Lytechinus pictus: one gene and its partners. The protein of the gene in region 3 binds, or shares a complex with, the protein of the main gene of each other region. Links are inferred from orthologs where the notes say so. Each region holds a gene or a part of one and is shown on either strand. Other genes may lie near its edges.

Region 1 (6,989 bases), on a different chromosome or scaffold from region 3:
TGGTCTAATACCCACTATGCATTATATACTGAGTGCCCCCCCCCTAACCTCGTATTAGTGTGAGTGCTGACAGCCCAGCCCAGGCCATCAATTAACTGAAAACTAAAGATAGATGAGCTGAGACTTGAGCCCAACGTTATATTAGGGTGTCTGGAGAAAAAAATTATTTTTCTTATTTCAAGAAAATATCACATTTTCTTTGTGGATTTGAAGAGAAATGACCTTCAGACTGACAGAAATGTAAAAATCCAATTATTGGCTGCAAAAGAGAAGAATGAAATTAGGTCAATTTTCAGAATTTCTCTGCCATAGACTGTGTAGTTAAGAAATGGACACACACAAATTTTTAGCTTCCGAGAGCTGTTATAAATTTATTATTAATGCCAAAAACTTGTCCATAAAGAGTCCAATAGGATTTTTTATGCTCTATCTGATGGTACGATTTTTATATAGATTTGGAAACCAGATCACCATGAAAAATTGCGACAAAGTGAAAAAAATTGTGCAAAACAGAAATTTCATATTCCCATAGAAAACGCATGGAGAAATGGCAATCTCAACACACACAAAAATAAGGGTTTGAAATTTATATCTCTAAATCCTTATTTAAAATGATCATATAAACTTGTCCTTACTGTCAAAAGAAGCCCCTGAATTTTCTCTTTCCATACATGCCAAACACAACTTCACAAGTTAATAATCAATTCAGATCACATTTTTCTATTAGTAGCCACTCCTAGTACCAATGAGGTCCAAACATTAACATGTATGGACCTCATAGGCGACAATGCGTTAAAAACAGGTTAGAAGTCCTGCACCCAAGTATTTTTATGATATTAGTGATTATTACTCGAAAAATGCAAGCTTTGTCCTCATTTGTTTAGCATTTATTAAAAAATTGCCCATTAACTATAATCCTTCTCATACTTTAAATGTTATAAAATAAAGGGAAACTTACATTTGAGTCCTTTTTCAATCTTTTCTTGGCAGTCAGTCCGGTCCCGTCGAGTGCGATCAAAGCGGTACGAAGCTGATTTTCAGATCACGTGATACGAGTAGTCATCACCTAATCGATCGACTATCCTTTTTTAAAGACCGCAACAATTATAAATTCTATTATAAAATATATATAGAATAAATAATTGCATGATATTATATATATTTCTACAATTAAAAATATTTTGTGATATGAATTTAATATTTGACGTAAAAATCGCTATTTAACAAAATATTTATTAAAAAATAAAAAATCAAACAAAATAAAAACGCCTTGGACACAGTGCAAAAAACCTAACAATTTGGCCGCGTTCTTAACAACTATCGTAAGGGGCGCTCTATTTATAAATAAAAAAGAATGTACAGCTGTCTACCGCGACGTGGTTTGTCGCAAGATTTGGGACAAATCCGTGGAAATTCTTGAGAAAATACATCAAAAGAACTGGTGAGTACCGATTAAACATTATCAAAGTAGTAAATAGGTTATACATAACTTGTAGATATATATTTTAAATTGATATTGATGCTTAGTTCCAAGCTAGGGCGGCCCAAATGTGCGTGAGTGGAGTCCCAGTCTATTATTTATTAACACGGGTAAGTATTGGGGTGTCGCCTAGAGTGTTAGTACTAAATAGTAGCCTGAACCACTCCTAGTACCAATGAGGTCCAACATTACATGTATGGACCTCATAGGCGACATCAGTAGTATTTTTGGTTAGAAATCTCTGAGAACAGGATATTTATATATTATATCACAAGTACAAGCTATATTCCTTTCTCTTATTTAAATTATAATTTTATAGTGTAAATGCATCGTTAGCAACAACAAAAAATGAAAGAAATGAAGGGGAACTTACATTTTCACGGCTTTTTCCTGATTTTCTGGGCAGCTGCTCTTCTCTTCTGACTCGCGATCGAAGCTGATATGAAGATCACGTGATTCGCGTTCTCGGCAGCTGATCGGTTGGTTATTCTTTTCGTCAGACGTTAATAATATATATTTTATAATGCTAGCATTCATCGCTAATTTAGGTGAAAGAGATTGAAGTTAAACAGCGCCAGGTCGCAATCATAATTATTTTGGAAGAGTTTATTTATACACTCGATCTCATACCTGACGTAGACGGCGCTATTCAACAAATGCACAATCTTCAATATAAAAAATAAAACAGAAAGAACGCCTTGAACACAGGCCAAAATGCCTAACGATTTCTCCGCGGCATTAACAACTATCGTAAAGGGCGCTCCATTTATCAATAAAGATGGATGCTAAGCTGTCTATGGCGACAAAATTTGCCGCAAATATTTTCGAAGAATTGTGAGAAATGGTCTGAAAATGCAACAAAAGAACCGGTGAGTACCGATTAAACATTATCAATTTATTTAATAGAACATATTTAATGACTACAATGTAGGCCTAACAATTTCTAGATAATATTGCTTAGTTCTAAGCTAGGGCGGCCCAAATGCGCGTGAGTGGAGTCCCAGTTTATTAGTTGGGGTGTCGCCTAGAGTGGCCTGAACTTCCCCCCAAAAATGTGCCATACCGGTATTTTGCCCTAAAATAATCAGCCTGTTTTATGCTGACACTTTTCAGTGTGGCTTCAGACACCATAGTTATATCTTGATCCAATCCATATCAAGTCTAATGTAATGATTAGCTAAACAGATGTAACTTAGAGTTAGACAGACAAACTTTTTTTGTGTTGAAGTTAAAAAAAAAGTTAAACAAACACACACACACACAGATATTTATGCATGGGGACGGGCAATGCACTGCAGCACAGATTTTTATCTCTGCAAGTGCAAAGGTGGACACCCTGGAACTCACTTTCAGGTTATTTTTCCTCAAGAACTGTAAAACTGCAGACAAGGTCTGACTATCCATCGATTGCTGACCGGTCGATTCCTCATTTCCCTCAATAGCATTGGTATCAGCAGGTTTTTCGCAAAGTAAATCTTGCTCTAATTCTTCCATGGGTTCCGCCATTTTTGGTAACATAAGTTGATAACAAATTTAAAAAAAAAAATTTTCGAGGATGGAATAGAAATAAATGGATATACATGAATACATTTAAAAGTTATTTGCCTTAAGAAAACAATTAATTTGTATCGGTTATGTGAAAATTCTTTGATGGATTTTATCATCGAACGCATGATGTGTTGTTTGTGTTTCTTTTTCTTAAATCGGCAACTTACAACCAATACGCTCTCTCTTTATCTAGGCATCGCTCACAGTTGACACTCGTCAACTGCGGTGCTTCCCAAATCTGTTTAAATCCTTCTTTTGAAGGATAATCAGCACCTCAAACTTCCAGTACCTATAAAAGAAGTTTTAATACGTATAATTAGAGGATGAGGGATAAGGTGAGATTTATTCGAAACATTTATTTATATGTGTAAATTGGTGCGTGTTGATCTGCGTAACGAGGTGATGTGTGGTGAATTAGAGTGACTGTAGGCCTAGGCCTACAGCGCGGTGGAGCTGAGGTGTGCTATTTGCTGAGCCTGAGAGACTGGAGCGAGTGTATGTGCCGAATGTGAAATAAAGCCCAGATTAGAATCTTATGTATTTTCTTTCACTTCAGTCAGATCAATTGCAAATTGGGGAGATTGGGTACCCCTTTTCACCATTCGACTGGGAGTGTTTGAATTCAAAATATTTTTTTCGGGGGGGGGGGGGGGGGGATGGGGTACCGTGACGGCGTAAGTATGGTAACGTGTTTTGAAATTGAATTCGACATGCAAGCCAAAGTCATTTCATGATAAGCCAGCACGTTCAATTGCGCATGACACGGGCACACTGGTCGAGGAGTTTTTCAACATTTTTATTTTTTCTCGTAGGGTAGGCCTAGCCCTAGGGCCTACACGGACGGCTCGCTATCAAGTATCATGCAGCAGGGGGTTAACAATGCAAAATCCCTCCGACGGGGCTCATCGATTTTTGACTTCATTTCATAAACATAATATTTAAAAAGAACTAGGCTACCAAAATAAAAAATATTCTATTTTGGCCTGAAATGCACCAAAACAGGGAAAAATAAACTTAAAAGGGAAAAACAGTGATTTCAGCTGTCGCGCAACTTCACTTCCCTGTCTTATCCGAACTTATTAAATACATAAACATATGGCCATTGAGTCCTTGTACAGATTGAGCTAGAAGTTGAACTTCCGGTCTCTGTATGTGGTGAGTGGAGCCAACGGAGTTCAGCGGAACAGCCAACATACATGTAACAGAGACCGAAGCTTTTGGTCTAACTCGCCACGTGCAATCGATTTCTGATGTGAACTCCAAAATAGGCCTACCCTTCAAAAAGTCAAAATTTTCCCTTAAAATACAGAATCTGAGCCATTTCCAGAGCTTGGCTCAAATTTGAGAAGCGGGTCCACTGATTAAAAAATTTCTAAAAATCGAACAGACCAAAATCTGTTGTTAAGAATGACTTAATGACTTGTAAGTTCACTTACAAGCTCGCAAATTTAGGATTGTATTTTGAAAATAACTTAAAAAAGAAAGAACTGAAAAACTAAGGAAAAAGGGCCTCACAGTGGCAAATTGTCCAGAGACTGTGTAATACGGATAGACCGTCCCCGACAGCGAATCAGAGACCGCTGATTGGTCAATCGCGCAGATCACGTCATGACTACGTGGTCGCCAAAATTATGCCTCGGACTGCGAAAGTATCGATAACGATAAGATATCTAGTCACATTGTCTACGCCGGAATTGGTCTTGGTTCGTGATCGGATCGCTCCAGCATTGATTGAAAATTATCAAGACTCGGCAATTTCATGCATATTCACGAGATGCTCCGAAACCCGGAAATCAATTGTGACTTTGTGCACGTTTCGATAGACTACAAACTCCAACTAACACAATGTCATATCGAGGCTAATTTGTAAGCTTTGACTGAAAAGCAGGAAGTAATCGAAATTCGCTTACCTGTGCAGTATTGGCAAGAAAATCCATGTAGATCCTCCGAGATATTCATCTTAAATATAGGAAAGTTAAATTCTAGGTCGATTTACTGCACACACTTTTTGGAATACTGTGTGGGGTAATGGAAGGCTTGCTATATTTTCATTCATAAATTGGCTCTCTGCAGTGGCTGGATGACGTCATGTAATAAGCAAAATGTACATGCCCGCTAGCGTTGAACCAGGGCTCGATTTTAGCGGGAGCCCGGTGGCAAAAGGCTCCCTAAAACCTCTGCGGGCTCCTTAGAAAGTAATTGAAAAAGCCCGGTGGGCTCCCTAAGATTTTCTAGTATCAGCCACCAAAAAAGCAATTTCTTACCAGCACACTAATCCACGCTTTATAAGTCTAAATTATGTTTTCAAAATCATAAAAAACCTTGAAAATAGCGAAAATAGCGAGTTTCAAATTGCTTAGCTGCGTCTTTTTTTCTGTACCACGTTTTTCCACACACATGGTACCTATGGAAAAAAGAATCGTGCTACACCGGTGCGAGAAACAGTTGCATGTACAGGGGTCCATTATCATTTACGCCGTGTGTAATTTTCAATGCACACATTTCCCTTAGAGATATCACGATTCTGTGTCATGTAGACATCGGCTCTGCTTGTCAAAAGGGCGCCTATTAACATCCAAAATAACTTACCTCGGTAGTGAATTATTCCTGAAAAATCATTTGTTTCATTTTTTCAAGGGAGGGGGTAAATATCAGACAGTAAATCATCAAACATGGCAACATCTGATTTTAGGAGGACGCCGGATTTTACTCACGCACGCACTGACACTTGTGCAAGTCGGAGCTCTCTCTCTCTGCCTGAGCTCTGGGGGACAATTCAGTCAGTAAAGGCCTCAATGATGGTGATTTTCTGTTTCAGATAGAGTTTACATTTCAGGTTTTTTTTTTTAAACTACCAATAAAGTTGGATGGTTTCTTCATTGTGATATATATTTAAGTTATTGATGAATACTTTTTCACCAAATTTAGACTCCCCTATAGAAAAATGCAATTTTCGTGGAGATCTGCGTTTTCAAAGAACTGCAGGAAAAGTTAGGGTATACATGCATGTACATGTAACATGTGCCTACATGTGACATACTTAGCCTGTGTGGTTTTTGTACTGATATAAACACAATATTTGGAGTAAAAATTAGATGATGAATTAATTTCTTTAACATATACATGTATATCCAAGTCCACCGCACAGTCACACCCACACAAACACACACCAACCCACATCCATGATTCAGCATGAAAAAAAAAAATCAATTTTGTTTATGTATTTAATTTGTTTCCTTTTTTGAATTTATTATTTTTTTTTGAGGGGGGGGGGGCATTAAAAATGAAAAAAAAAAGTCATTGACTTATGTGTTTGTGACCGGTGTCTAAGTGTGTTGGGGTGTCAAAATCTGATTTACCCTGAATAAATACAACTGGTATCGTGATGGTGTGCTTTAATATTTTAATAGGTAATGACCAGTATTATGCAAAAAAAAGGGATAAACTTGGGCTCCTTAAAACCCATGCGGGCTCCCTAAAAAAGTGCTTGAGGAGCCCGGCTGGCTCCCTAAGAAAAAAGTAAAGGTCAGGCCCTGTGAACGCTACGCTATCTGTTCTATACAATTTGCAGCTGTGGGCCTAGCCAACCACGTTGAGATTGCACAGTAATCGAGTTGACTGCATGCTATAATGGCAATCATCCATTCGACATGGGGTCCAATTGTTGTGTGGGAGTGAATGGCCGCTGCAACTTTTGGGTTGCATATCGCATGAGGTACGTGCAGCGCAATTCGGTGGCACTTGCACACATGATGCGTTTTGTCGAACAGAGGGTGGGGGCTGTTGAATTGTGGCCGCAAAACGTGGTGATTCATTAAAAAAATTTATGGAAAATTGAGATTGGTCAAAATAAACATTGCCATGAAATAGAGGCAAATGGGCCTATATTGATGCAAATTTGTATGAAATTTTAGAGTAAAAAAATAGTGCCAAAAAAAAACTTAACCTGTCAAATTCTTGA
Region 2 (7,608 bases), on a different chromosome or scaffold from region 3:
GGAGGGGGGGGGGGGGGCGGAGCAAAATATGAAATATGGTTTTGTGTATGTTGTGTGTACCTCGTTGTTCTATGTTGTGCTTATAAATACTCTATTATTTTCTTTCTTCTTATGTTTCTTTGTTTTTGATGATGATCCTTCAATGTCAGGATTTTATATCAATAAGCTTAAATTTGAAAAATTTGAATTTGTATGACTGTGTAAGTTTTTTTGTTCAAAGGCTGCAGTAGAGGCGGGTCCAACATATACCTGCATGAAGGGGGAGGAGTAAAAAAAACGGACCCCCCTAAATTTTCTGTTGATAACCATTTTTTTTTTTTGCTTGTCAATTTTTTTCCTTGGGTCCCCCCTAGATTCAGGTGGACCCCCCCTAACATTTTTGTGGCTCCCTAAAATTTTGGTTGATAACCTTTTTTTTTTTTCAGGTGGACCCCCCAAAAAAAAATATTTTGGCTTCCGCCACCAATGAAAGGGGGGAGGCTACACGTGTAAAAGCAGAATTTATTTACATTAAAATTTTTGATAATGGCTCTCAAGGAGTGGGTAGTATGTGCCCCCCCCCCCTTTGGATCCTCCACTGGTCATGTACAGGGCATGCATTTAAATTGGGTGGGGGGGTGTACATGTAACTAACCTCTGGTGTCAAGGGGGCAGCCAGCCCGTGCCCCTCCCCCCCCCCCTTGAGAGGCACAATTAAAATTTGTATATGTAAAAATGCTATTAAAACTTAAAACACAAGTGTGCCCTCCCCCCCTTTGAAAGTGAGGACTTTTATTTGGTTGTCAGATTTTTTGTAGAAGAAATGTACTTCATTTTTGGTTGAAAACATTTCTTCTTTTTTTGGTCAAATTTTTCCTCGGGAAAATGTGCCCCCCCCACCCTTGGAAAATCCTAGATCCACCCGTGTCAATACTATGTTTGAAAAGAGGTATACCCCTTCCATCCCTGATGTAACCCATTTGCTGAAAAAAAATATATACTGTATTTGAAGAGGGGGCTAACATACCCCCTTTGTCTCCTTTGGCTTAACACCTGATGAGTGCACATGTACATGCACACACACACGCCACGTGTAGATTACGTGTTCTACTGGCGCCATGACCACTGCACTTATGGGCAGCCAAAAGGGCCAAAATTAACAATCTCAAAAATAAAGAAACTCTCGGAAATAAATGTAGTATCTCAGAAATATATTATTCAGAAATTAATACATTACTTTGGACGACTAGTACATAAGTCAGAAATAAATGTATTTAACCAGAAATGGATATAATTGAGAAATAAAAGACAACTCCGAAATAAATCTTGTCAGTCATAGATAAAGATTTAGAATTATAGGACACATTCAGAAAAAAATATTGTAATTGAAATAGCAGTATATTTTACAAATAAATGTCATCGTTCAGATAAAGATGACCTCGCAAATAAAACAATGTCAAAAATAAGAAAACTCTAGAAGTAAAGATAACTACAGAAATAAAGACAACTGCAGAATCATGTTTTCACGGAATAAAAACAATTCTTGGAAATAAACACAATCACAGTTTTGCGGGGATATAACAAAAATAATTCATTTCTGAGAGAGTCTGAGAGGCTGCATTTATTTCTGAAAGACTGGGATACTACATTTATTTCTGAGAGTTTCTTAATTTTTGAGATTGTTAATTTTGGCCCTTTTGGCTGCCCATATGCACTAGCTAGCGACACAGTCACAGAGCTCGATCGCGATAGGCGATCCGTGCGGTCCATTTATTTCAATTCACCTCATCATTGCACAAGTTCAATGCGACATTTCTTATTCATTAGGGGTACGAATTGTTATTCATATCAAACAATTTCAAAAGGGTCATTATTAATGCCAGTTCATCCTCGCTCAAACTCAAGAAAAATTACGACTCATTAGTCCGACATCACCTTGCGTTTAAGATTTGAGGGCGATATGCGACACATTTGTGAAGTCGGAAAATTACCATCGCCCGAAGAAAAAACCTTCCATAGTTCATACTTTAATTGGCGTCAAGAAAACGTCGCCTGAGAAATAAAAGATAAATAAAGGCCGAACAAAAATTGAAAATACTCATGAATTATGTAAACAAAAAATCACTTTAAAAAACACAATTTTGCTTACCCGTTTCGTATTTCCAGCATCAAAACAACTTTTCGAACTCGAAATCATGTTCGCAAAGAAAGAAATTTGATGTTTCATCGAATGGCGATGAAATGAGAGAGAAAATAAAACCTGGAAGTCAAATCTCACGAAACTCGATATTTTCAAGATGGCAACTCTTTCGGGGATGTACGAGTGTCGAGTGACAAGATCGTCTCTGTAAAATGGATTATTAATTATGGACCTCAAAGTACACGATGTAAGTTTTAAAATCAAATGTAATAATTTTGTATGGCACAATAATATGATTTTCCCGTGCATGTCTTTTTTATTTTATAAAAAGTTTGATTGTATTTGTAGAAATTGTTAATATTGATCTCGCCAATTTAACACTGCACTACACGGTGTCGGTGACAGATACGAGAATAGTGTCACGAGTGTGAGTGCATGAGGCAAGCCAAGCCCCACTCACACGTATTGCGAGGTTAGTATTACTATTAGTAGTATACTAACACAACACACAACTTCTATGGCTTAATTTTTCCGTGCGCGGCGGCATGTAATGATGTACACTTGGGTGGCCAAGCCCAAGAAACTTAGACGTGGTTTCTTTTATTTACAAACAGCAATTGTAATGAATGGGACTGTTGTGTAAGATAATCGGAATATCGTCATGCGTCACTCCAGTCTTACAGCGGGATCTCTGCCTTGCAGAAAGGGGTATAAACTTAAACGTAGGCAAAAATTACAGGAGGAATCAATGGGCTTACCTTTAGAATACTTTCAGACTGAAAGCTGACAATAAAGACTAATAAAAGTGACTCCAAATAACAAATCTCGCCTCCTCCGATATTATCCGTACCGACAAAACCGTGTCGCCGAAAGGTCAAAATGGAAAAAGAAAGAAGAACGGAAAAAAAAAACCAAACATCAGCGGCGGATCCAGGATTTGAATGAAAAAGAGGTATTTCATTTGAAACATATTACTTTGACTATCCGTAGGCCTACGACAAGATTTCTTTGCTTTTGTTTTTTAACCAAAATGCATATATCATTATGTGCCACCATTGGCAAGTGATGCAAAATAACTCTTTTCATCATAAGTGTTATATTCTTTGATGGGAAAGCATTTTATGCACATGCGGACTTCTCTCCCTCTGTTCTCTTTATCTCCATTCTCTCTCTTGACCAACCCCCTCCATTCTCTCTTATATCTGCCTCTCTTGCGCATCGAGTGAGTTTCTATAGTCTAAAATCATGATAACACATAAATGTAGGTATTACATTCCTTTCTTAATCATTACAGGTTTTTATTCGTTCTTTTTTTGTGGAAATTGAATGAATATTCACTCATTTATATATTTTAAATGCAAGCAAAATCAAAGGCAGCTAGATTTTATTTTCAAATGTCATGTGTTAAAAGCCTTAAAATATAATTTCAAAATAATATTTTCATTAAAAAAAAGTGTGCTGTGTTCAAGCAAACTCAGATTTTACTTGCAATGGCAAGTCGCAGCAGCTGTTACGAATGTTGTACTTCTTGGATTGGACACTAATGGAACTAGTATATCTGTTGCCTCAGCTCCCCAACTTCATTTCTTGCATGAGCTTCATGTTAAACGTTCTCTGTTGGTGAACAACAACTAGACAGTCTGGTGATACACTTTATTCCAATCTCCTCCTGAGCCTTGCTCTTTTGTTTCTATATGTATTTATCAAACCACTTTTTCTGCGTATCCACTGGATCTCGCAGTTCTCCAGGACTGGAGGAAATCAACAGAAGAAGAAGAAGAAGGTTAATTTCTTCTTGACAAACTCACACATTAAAAATCTTTTGTTGTCCTGTTCTTGTTATATAGCTTAATGGTTTCCACACTAAGCAAAAGATAAAGCTTGCAAGATATACAGCGTGTCCCACAAAAATATTAATGACACTTTAAATGAGTATAATGTGAAAATTACAAAGTCATATTTGTATATAATTCTACAATCGTAAATTGGCATTTGTTATATGCAACTGGCTTAAATTTTATGTGATATGATCCATCGAACACAGAGATATGAGCCTTCTTTCAGAAAAGTATGTAGTCCAATCATATCTTCATTCACTCTGTTTTTTATAGATATTTGGGGCAGAACTTCCGGGCCTATATTTATTTTTTAATGGAGGTTTGAGAAACTTGGCACGATATCTTTTATCAAACATGAAAATTGATTGATTGATTATAGGCCTAAAAGAAAAAACAACAAATTTTGTAATCCATGATCTTATCTTGATCTCATCTATTCATTAGAAGGGATGAATGAATAGGTCATCACAAAGTCTTGAACAAAAGAATATCCTTGCAGATTCACACCCGTGGCTGAACGTGAATAGACATAATTTGAACCACAAAAATCTTGTTAGCTGAAACTTACTACTTGATATAAAACTTGGATGAAGAGGTTTCCTGATGTTTAATGAATAAATGCTCATATATTTGTGATCATTGGACCATATCACAAAAACAGGGGCCGTGGAACGGTTTTCAAAGTGAGGGGGGGGGGGGGGGGGGCTGACCATACAAAAAATCACAATCAGCTTCCGCGGCCCCTGAAAAAAAATCATCCACTTTTGGGAAATGAATTGTAGTTTAGAGGTGTAAAGATATAAACAATATAATGTTGTAATTTTAAAATTATACCCATCTAGAGTGACATTAACATTTTTAGGGGAACATGCTGTATTGTGAAAAATCACAATAAAATATATTCTCAATGAGATGCTTGGTTTTAAAGCAAACACTTCTCTTTGTTTGGTTGTAGTCAATTCACAAGCACCATGCATGTTTGTTGTCAAATCCATATAAATTAACATTCAATATGGAAGTTCATTTTTTTGACATATTGAATACATTTATTAAAAAATTGAACAGACATGTGGACAAATATCACAAATAATAAATATGGAAATACTTCAATATATGGAAATAAATATGTGAATAAATCTATAAAATATTTGATGTACAAGACTTATAGCACATAATACAAAAATAAATAATTTAGGTTAATTCTTTCAATAACACAGATCCCCATCTATAATATAGGAATTACAAGAGTGATTTGTATAAAGAATCCTAGCCGGTCACGCTCACAAATTGCGCCCCAATTGTGATATCATGCTTTCACGTTAGCTCGCGATAGCTCAGTCCGTAGAGCGGGGTTCGGTGACCGGGGTTCGATTCCCAATTGGTGTGCTAGTACTCTTTGGTAAGGCATCAATCCCCATTACCAGGTCCCTCAGAGAGGACCTTACGTCATCGGTCCTCTGGTTTTTGCTTACAAGCATTGATGCTTTCTCAGCAATCAGGTAACAATCACTACCATTACCATTTATCCTGACAAAAAGGTTTATTGTAAAAATCTAAACAATAATAAAAAAATATTGTTGAAGATTTGAGGGAAATCCATCAGTGATCTTAAAGTTATTTGAATTTCAATTATTTTATATTTGTGACGTCATATGCGAGCAGCTTCCCAAGTATCATGAATTTAAAAAATCAATGAAATTTCATTTTCTCAAAAATTGAAAATGTTTTTTATTGTACAGGTCTTCAGTATATCAACAGACAAATTATATTACACCTGCTCCCAAAAGAACAAAGTTATTCATTATGAACCATTAAAACATTGAAATTTATGCATTTTATATTACATAACATATAGGGGGCAGCTGCTTGTATATATGACGTCACAAATCAAAAACTTAAAATTCTAATAACTTTCTTAATATTTATTGAATTTTCCTCAAAACTTCACCACTATCTTTTATCCCTTTTTCTGCAATTTTTTGCAGGTTTTTGTCAGGGTGAACTTCTCCTTTCATCCTGATCGCCATGCATTAATCATCAGGCTCATTTTGTTACAGATTTCCTGTGATCTCACTTGTAGGTATATTGATATTCCTTAGTCTACCTCATGCTTAGGAGCCATCATTTAGTTGAATATTTCTGAATAATTTTCAATTCTCACAAACATTGCTTGATATACATGTCAGGCAAAAAAAAAAAAGAAGCCTAATTTTGCGGCATTTGATAAGTTTTAACATTGCAATGAATGGGGATTTTCGAGAGCCTTTTATAGTTTCTAAGTTTCTTTTGATCATTTTGGGGGCTGTATTGCCCTAAGCCTCTGTATATTTTTCCTCTGATACATGAAAGGCAACTAGTCAATACAGGGAAAATAAGTAGATTGAACAAGGTCCCTCATTATGTTGGTGGCACATATATTTATAAAACACATAAATTGTTTGAATACAGGTGTAGTGTAAAATTGTCTTAATGCCATCCACAAGCTGGGTTACTTTTATACACTGTACCTTTATATTGATCACATAAGCCTAAGGTGTAGTGTAAAGGTGATTAATGCCATCCACAAGCTGGGTTTACACTAATTAGTTTACACCGCACCTTTAGATTGATCACATAAACCAAAGGTGTAGTGTAAAGGTGATTAATGCCATCCACAAGCTGGGTTTACACTAAGTAGTTTACACCGCACCTTTAGATTGATCACATAAACCGAAGGTGTAGTGTAAAGGTGATTAATGCCATCCACAAGCTGGGTTTACACTAAGTAGTTTACACCGCACCTTTAGATTGATCACATAAACCTAAGGTGTAGTGTCAAGGTGATTAATGCCATCCACAAGCTGAGTTTACACTAATTAGTTTACACCGCACCTTTAGATTAATCACATAAACCTAAGGTGTAGTGTAAAGGTGATTAATGCCATCCACAAGCTGAGTTTACACTAGGAAGTTTACACAACACCTTTAGATTGATCACATAAACCTAAGGTGTAGTGTAAAGGTGATTAATGCCATCCACAAGCTGGGTTTACACTAAGTAGTTTACACCGCACCTTTAGATTGATCACATAAACCTAAGGTGTAGTGTAAAGGTGATTAATGCCATCCACAAGCTGAGTTTACACTAGGAAGTTTACACAACACCTTTAGATTGATCCCAGAAACCTGTTACATGATGAACCTATTCTGAAACCCTGTTGTCCTATTACAGTTACAATTGATTCACTTACACCTTTAGTTTCCCCATTCATACCATGCCTCAAATGTCATTATTTTTTAAACAAAGCCACATTACTAGAGGGAACATTCTATATTACAGAACAAATAAGAAAATTATGATGGACAGAATTAATCTCCAAGGACATAGATAGGGTCAATCAGACAAGGGCATCCTTGACCATGACCTCAATGACCTTTAGAATAAATTATGACAAGAAAAAAAAAATTGTCCACTCAAATGACATAAGGCAAGATAATGTAATACCATACTATCTACAAGAAAACAGCAAGAAATCATTTGATTAATTGCTTGGTACTGCAGAATTGGAAGCATTAAAAACAAACATACTGAAGCTTTCCAGCATGCACTCATTAGAGTAAAACCACATGAATGAATAGAACGCCAGAACCAAACAATATAGAAAAAAAATT
Region 3 (7,029 bases):
TTGCCTGTGGCCTTTGGTAATGATGAGGTTTGTTGTGAAGATGCATTCGCAGCTGTAGCTCCTCTCATTGCTGTTGTCGGTGTTCCAGAGGCAATGACTACAGGTGAACCTGACCGAGTGGTTGTAACTTGAGGACTGCTGACAACATTACTCCCACCAACTGATGTAAGGACCCTCCCTGGCTGAGCTGTAGAGGTGACTATTCCTGGCTGCAATATAAGGATAGAAAGAATTATATTCCTCTAGTAAAACTGTTGGGAATGGTAAATCAATAAAAGTAAAACTTACCCCCCCAAAAAATGAAAAATTTATTAAATGCTTCATAGATATCTTTGGCTCGATTCCAATGTATGAAAGTTATCAATAGGCCAATGTACAGGTACTTACTAGCACTACTTTACTCAGAAGCAATCCATAATACATGTATTTCAACTAAACAATCTGTTGTTTACTTTTGTTTTCTTGATTTCATTACCCAATTCTAAGAAGATAGTGACTCTTTAAATTTAATAGGCATGATTTCGGAATCAAACATACATGTATCTCAGTATATTGCTTTCCTTGCATTGTAATCAAATTATTTTCCTATTCTCTTTCAGATTTTACATTTCTTATAATGATTCAAAATTTTGATCTCGTCATTTTGTTGATGCAAGTTACATGTACATCTATCTGTAATTTACAGAGCCAATTTGTACAAGCTTTACACTTTCTATGACCCCTCCACATGTGATTTTATATCTTTATATTAGAACTACAACTTCAATTGAATTGAATAAGAACAGAGAAAAAAGTTCCTGTGACTATGCATCGATTGTGAATACTAGATCCGTATGACAATAATGACCCAGTTTATTATTCAAAAGCAAGTCACTGAATGCTTGTACAAGTACATATTAAATGATCCATTATCATGCCCATGGCACAAGAAGAATAAAACACTACAAGAGGAAGTTTGATGAGAGTGAGAACAAAAGTTATAAAAAAAAATCACAATGCACCATTTCTCAAAAATATACTGTACCACAAGATGTTCTTTAGTTTGAACTAAATTTTGAATTACAGGAAAAAATAGGATTTGAAAATTCACTTAGATCTACATAACTTGGTAACACACCAGTTAACATAAAAGATTGCACCATGTTACCCTCCATTATTTTGAATGACAAACAAGGGCGATTCCATGCTAGAAAAATCAGCGATTTTTGCTACATTTTTCAACCTATTGTCCAAATAAACAAAGAACTTCAATTTGTTTTGTGGTAATTAATAGAGTACTACTGGGTAGACATGAAAAAATGACAACCAACAAAAATATGCTGTCCATGGGTGAATTAGAGGTGAAAATGTTGCATGTCGTACGGGACATTTCTGAGTCCCGTACGACACACAACATTTTTGCGCCCTTAATTAAGCCATAATCAAATATTTTTTGTTGGTAATCAGTTTTTCACATGACTACCCACTATAACTTTATTGACCAAAAATAATTTCTCATTGCTCAAGCAATCAGCTAAGAGACTTGAAATTGTTGACAAAATGTCCCGTACGACACGTATGGAATCGCCCACAAGATGTTTTAAAGTGGCATAGAGATGATTGAGACAGGTTCTAGACTACTCAATTTTTTAAAGACTCAAATGGGCAAGAAGATAACACCAGGGTATTAATTACCCCCCCCCCTTTCTATTTAGAAAACTTTGTACCTGGACATGCCGGTATGTTGTCATTCCAGGAGCTCCTGCTACGTGAGCTTGAATGCCAGCTGGATTTGCCATGACAGCTTGTACTGTTCCTCCTTTATTGATTAATACAACTCCAGGTGGCAAGGTGGTGCCTGGAGGCAGACGTATCTGAACCTGTCCACCAAGCTGTGCTCTAGGAGCAATCACATGATGCCCAGTGGGCATCCGTACTGTCTGTGTTATAATCTGAGGCGATACAGCTTTACTTCCTGGAACAGTATTTACCACATATTGCCCTGGTCTGCCTCCTGTTTGGGTGGCTGGATTGGCAACATTAATTGTCACAACTTTCTGATTGGCATTGCCCAGTGTCATGTTGCCTGATGGAATACCAGATATTGTAGCGACTCCAGAAGTTGCTTGCTGAATTGTTGCTGCTATGCTTGGCTGAACAACAATCCTTGGTTTCATTGCACCTGATTGATCATTACTTGGTAATGTCTGTTGCCTAACGAGAAGCTGCTCTTTGGCAGACCCAGCTGAGACTGAGCTTACATTTTGATTAGAAATAGAAATAGAATTCATATTTGCAGTTGCACCATGTTCATTTTTTGAAGAGTTTGTATTTTGCACAGCACTGCCACTTGGCATGCTAGGCACTGAAACAACTTTAACAATTTGTTGGTCATTGTTAACCGAAGTTCTATTTTGACCCATTGTATTCCCAGAAAGTGGTCTGCTGATCGGCGGTTCATTTGGTTTTTGAAGGCCCGCTCCGGTGATCTGTGCCACAATCGCAGGTGACTGTTGGCTCACCGAAACGGTCGTAGCCGTTGGCGGCTTCGTCATCATGTTTGAAATTGCCGGTGGCTGTGAGTCTCGTTTCACAATATCAGCGATAGATGTTGATCCTATTCCATGATTATTTTGACCATTCCCTTGAGTTGCATTGTCATTTGCATGGATATTGCCAGGCGCATTCTCGTGATTGAGACCCTTCGTCGTTGGTGCGCCCGTGGTGCCCAAATGGGAATCCTGCATGGTTTGTCTTGTCGCATTCGCGTGTATTGAAATCCCCGGCTCCGCTTGTTTTAACGTTGTTAGCCCGCCAGGTCCAGTTTGTGCATGTACGGAAGAGTTATCGTTGACATGATTCCTTGTCACTGTGGCATCTTGTGATGGTCCAGACGCAGCCTTGGGATTCTGTGGGGCTAATTTTGTAACGAGAGATCCAACCAACGCAGATACCTCCTTTTCGTCAACCTCAGAAGAAAATATATCTTCAATGGACTTCGCACCCGCCATCTTCACTCCACCATGGCTTGCGAATGAATGAAATAGCGCATGCGCAATGTAACTATAATGGGATGGATTTTCGCGTTCAACTGTTGCACGCGAAAATAAATAGCCCGTTTCCTGCACGTTGCTTCTCATTTTCTTACTGTCCAACCCAACACATACCCCACCCCAAACAAACGCTCACCCAAACCCCCAAAAAACTTTCAACATTACAAAATTACGTTAACATACTAAAAGATATTAGATTGTCCCCGTGTAGTCCTAGTACTAGTCCCCCCCGGGGGGGGGGGTAGTCAAATATATTGCTGTATGGGTGACCAATTATATTTCTAAACAATATATAAACGAGTTTTTCTTCTGTGTGCAAAATAACCCCCTAAACAAGTTTTTCGCGGGCTTCATTTACACATTTTGGCCCGTAAACAAGTTGTCTCCAGAATATGACCCCTGTAAATAAACAAGTACTTGTCTACTTGCTAACAATAACCTTAAATAGACAAAACTATATGGGTATTGCCGGGCATGCCCCCCCCCCCCCCTAGTGCATTTAAGGTTAAAATACCACAACAGGGAATAAGAACCCGAACACTTTTCAGAAACGAGGAGGAAAAGCCTCGGGGACTAAGTTTGGGGGAAAACATACCCTAAGTACGTTACTACGTTTGGGTCGTCGTAAATAAAAACTTTGGAAAAAAAAAAACATACAAAATACCTACATTGACCCCGCGATTGACCATGACCAGTATTTCAAAACCACTTTTTTTCAATCGGTTTTTGGTACAGATATATATATTTGACTAGCCCCCATAGTAGTGGTAGTAGTAGAAGTAGTAGTAGTATAGTAGTATAGTAGTAGTGTGGTATAGTAGTAGTAGTAGTAGTAGTATAGTAGTAGTATAGTATAGTATAGTAGTATTTAGTCGTAGTAGTACTAGTAGTAGTAGTAGTAGTAGTAGTAGTAGTAGTAGTATAGTAGTATAGTATAGTAGTAGTAGTAGTAGTAGTAGTAGTAGTAGTAGTAGTAGTAGTAGTAGTATAGTAGTAGAGTAGTAGTAGTAGTAGTTGTTGTAGTAGTATATATAGTAACAGAATTAAGAGCAGTATGGTAGCAGTGGTAGTAGTGGTAAGTCGTTAAATTTTAATCACCAAATAGTTCCAGCTCGCACATCGTGCGTTCGCATCATTTTAGTGAAATCCATATCCTCTTCAAAATTTACCTCATTTCAATGTTGAACAGTGATTAAATGTTCCCTTTCGGTACTATATTATACAGATATTGCCTACCTAGAGTTTGAATATAACATTTCCTCTACCTGACGGAGTTATATTTTTCCCAAGGGATTATATTTTGCCCGAAGCGCGCAGCGCTGAGGGAAAATATTATCCCGAGGGAAAATTATAGCTTCGGAGGGGAGTTGAAATGTTATTTATTAAAACGATAGACCAGGCAATATCTGTTATATTATATAGTCTATGTGGATTCGCCATCAGAATTGCATTCATCATCTGGCTCAAACCCGAAATTCTTGCTACAGCTCTAATCCATCTACGTCATAATATATTTTTTTTTTAAATACATCAAGCGCGTACTTCATGCAATCGACGCGTTAACATTAGCGCGTACATCAATAACTACCTTGTTACGCAACTTGTATGCAGCGAGTGACGTCACCTTAGTGAATATAACGCCGCAATTGACAATACAACGCAGTATATTCCCTGAGGTGACGTCAAAACCTAGAATATAACAAATGCGATCCTCGCAGTTATGGTCACGTGATGGTGTATTGACCTATCACTGATTCGAATCTACATAACCTATGTAATATAACAAAATATCGGCTCGCGCTTCGCGCTCGCATTAATTGTCTACTGAGATACACAGCTTGCATGTTCTTTATTTGTAGGAATATCAAAAATTCACAGCTCGCGCTTTGCGCTTGCATTATTTGATGAGCAAATGACAAGCTTTTGTGATTGAAAAAAGTGCATAGAATCAGATTTAATGTCCATTTTTTTTCCAAAAAAAAACCAGACATCCGATGCAATCTAAAAACATCATCTCGCGCTTAGCGCTGTTTATGTATACTGAGAAACGGTTTTTTTTAATGATAAAAAAAAAGGCTGAAGAATGTCAAGTTTTCAGGTCGCATTATCAAAATATGGTACTTACTGTACATCCATTCAATTTGAGTGAGATATGTATCATCCTTATGGGTCACTGCAGAGAGTCCTTAATAGGGGTTCATTTTCATGTCAGAGTATCGAAGATTTCAGCTCGGGAAGTTTCGTACTCAAGTTAATTGTTGAGGATTGTAAAAATTGCTTAGAATGTCAAATATGCATGGATTCGAGGAAAGGGAAATGGAAGGAAAGGGAAAGGGAGAGAAGTGGGGCATGATTGGGAAGGGAAGAAAAATATTTATTAAAAAAAAGAAAGATGTTGCTTCATAATAAAGAGGGACACTTCAGTGACACTTTTCAGAAACGAGGAGGAAAAGCCTCGGGGACTAAGTTTGGGGGAAAACATACCCTAAGTACGTTACTACGTTTGGGTCGTCGTAAATAAAAACTTTGGAAAAAAAAAAACATACAAAATACCTACATTGACCCCGCGATTGACCATGACCAGTATTTCAAAACCACTTTTTTTCAATCGGTTTTTGGTACAGATATATATATTTGACTAGCCCCCATAGTAGTGGTAGTAGTAGAAGTAGTAGTAGTATAGTAGTATAGTAGTAGTGTGGTATAGTAGTAGTAGTAGTAGTAGTATAGTAGTAGTATAGTATAGTATAGTAGTATTTAGTCGTAGTAGTACTAGTAGTAGTAGTAAAAAAAAAAGGCTGAAGAATGTCAAGTTTTCAGGTCGCATTATCAAAATATGGTACTTACTGTACATCCATTCAATTTGAGTGAGATATGTATCATCCTTATGGGTCACTGCAGAGAGTCCTTAATAGGGGTTCATTTTCATGTCAGAGTATCGAAGATTTCAGCTCGGGAAGTTTCGTACTCAAGTTAATTGTTGAGGATTGTAAAAATTGCTTAGAATGTCAAATATGCATGGATTCGAGGAAAGGGAAATGGAAGGAAAGGGAAAGGGAGAGAAGTGGGGCATGATTGGGAAGGGAAGAAAAATATTTATTAAAAAAAAGAAAGATGTTGCTTCATAATAAAGAGGGACACTTCAGTGACACTTTTCAGAAACGAGGAGGAAAAGCTTAGAATGTCAAATATGCAGTGAAGGGGAAATTGATGCACAGGAGGTGAATCCCCTCCCATGAAGATAAATCTATAGGAAAAATAAAAAATGAAATGGTAGACGGTAGAAGAAAAAAATTGAAAAAAAAATAGAACAAAAAGGTAAAATAAAACAAAGAAGAGAAGAAAGAATAAATATAATATTTCGTATTCTCTCCGTCTTTCTCTATGTTCTCTTTTTTTTACTTTCCTTTCTCTCCTTTCTTTCTCCTTCTCTTCTCAACTTTATCTTGGACTTTTTTGTTTGTACTACCTTCCTTATTTCTTTTGTTTGCCCTCATTTTAAAGAGTTTTAGTGGCAAATTATAGCCCACATGAATTTAGATTAAAAAAAAACATTGTTAGCACGCTGCCAGTACTCACTCGCTTCATTTTCTTTCCCTGTATTTTAACCATCCAAAACCTGTTGTTGATCTGATGCAGTCTTTTATTACAGACTGCTGTCTATCGAATTGATTCATCAGCATAATTATGCCCGGGGGGGGGGGGGGGGGCAGTCAAATGAATTGCTGTACACACGCGTGGCCAAATTATTACCAAACACCCCCTAAACATTTTTTTCTCTGTGTGCAAAATAACCCCCTAAACAAGTTTTTCGCGGGATTTATTTACACATTTTGACCCCTAAACAAGTTGTCGCCAGAATATGACCGCAGGGAAAAAGCTTGGGGGAAAAAACATGCATGCCCTAAACACGTTTCAATAGTCTTTAAAAAAAGCTTTGAAAAAAACATACCCTAAATACGTTAGACCCTGCGATTGACCAGTCTTTCAAAACTAC

What was found. Proteins that work in one complex are often made in the same cells at the same time.
Region 1: transcription initiation factor TFIID subunit 4-like (region 3) and transcription initiation factor TFIID subunit 5-like share a complex: the UniProt entries of both Homo sapiens proteins name them as parts of the TFIID basal transcription factor complex. The link is inferred for Lytechinus pictus from reciprocal best matches to the Homo sapiens genes TAF4 and TAF5.
Region 2: transcription initiation factor TFIID subunit 4-like (region 3) and transcription initiation factor TFIID subunit 8-like share a complex: the UniProt entries of both Homo sapiens proteins name them as parts of the TFIID basal transcription factor complex. The link is inferred for Lytechinus pictus from reciprocal best matches to the Homo sapiens genes TAF4 and TAF8.

Annotation. Positions count from the first base shown.
Region 1 is NC_087245.1:16,414,840-16,421,828, forward strand, and holds the start of transcription initiation factor TFIID subunit 5-like, read right to left. Parts: upstream 3,004-6,989; 5' UTR 2,999-3,003; coding exon 2,828-2,998; intron 1-2,827. UniProt on the Homo sapiens protein: The TFIID basal transcription factor complex plays a major role in the initiation of RNA polymerase II (Pol II)-dependent transcription.
Region 2 is NC_087250.1:981,648-989,255, reverse strand, and holds the start of transcription initiation factor TFIID subunit 8-like, read right to left. Parts: upstream 3,004-7,608; 5' UTR 2,878-3,003; intron 2,522-2,877; exon of another isoform or gene 2,129-2,521; intron 1-2,128. UniProt on the Homo sapiens protein: The TFIID basal transcription factor complex plays a major role in the initiation of RNA polymerase II (Pol II)-dependent transcription.
Region 3 is NC_087246.1:38,471,307-38,478,335, forward strand, and holds the start of transcription initiation factor TFIID subunit 4-like, read right to left. Parts: upstream 3,025-7,029; 5' UTR 2,991-3,024; coding exon 1,707-2,990; intron 210-1,706; coding exon 1-209. UniProt on the Homo sapiens protein: The TFIID basal transcription factor complex plays a major role in the initiation of RNA polymerase II (Pol II)-dependent transcription.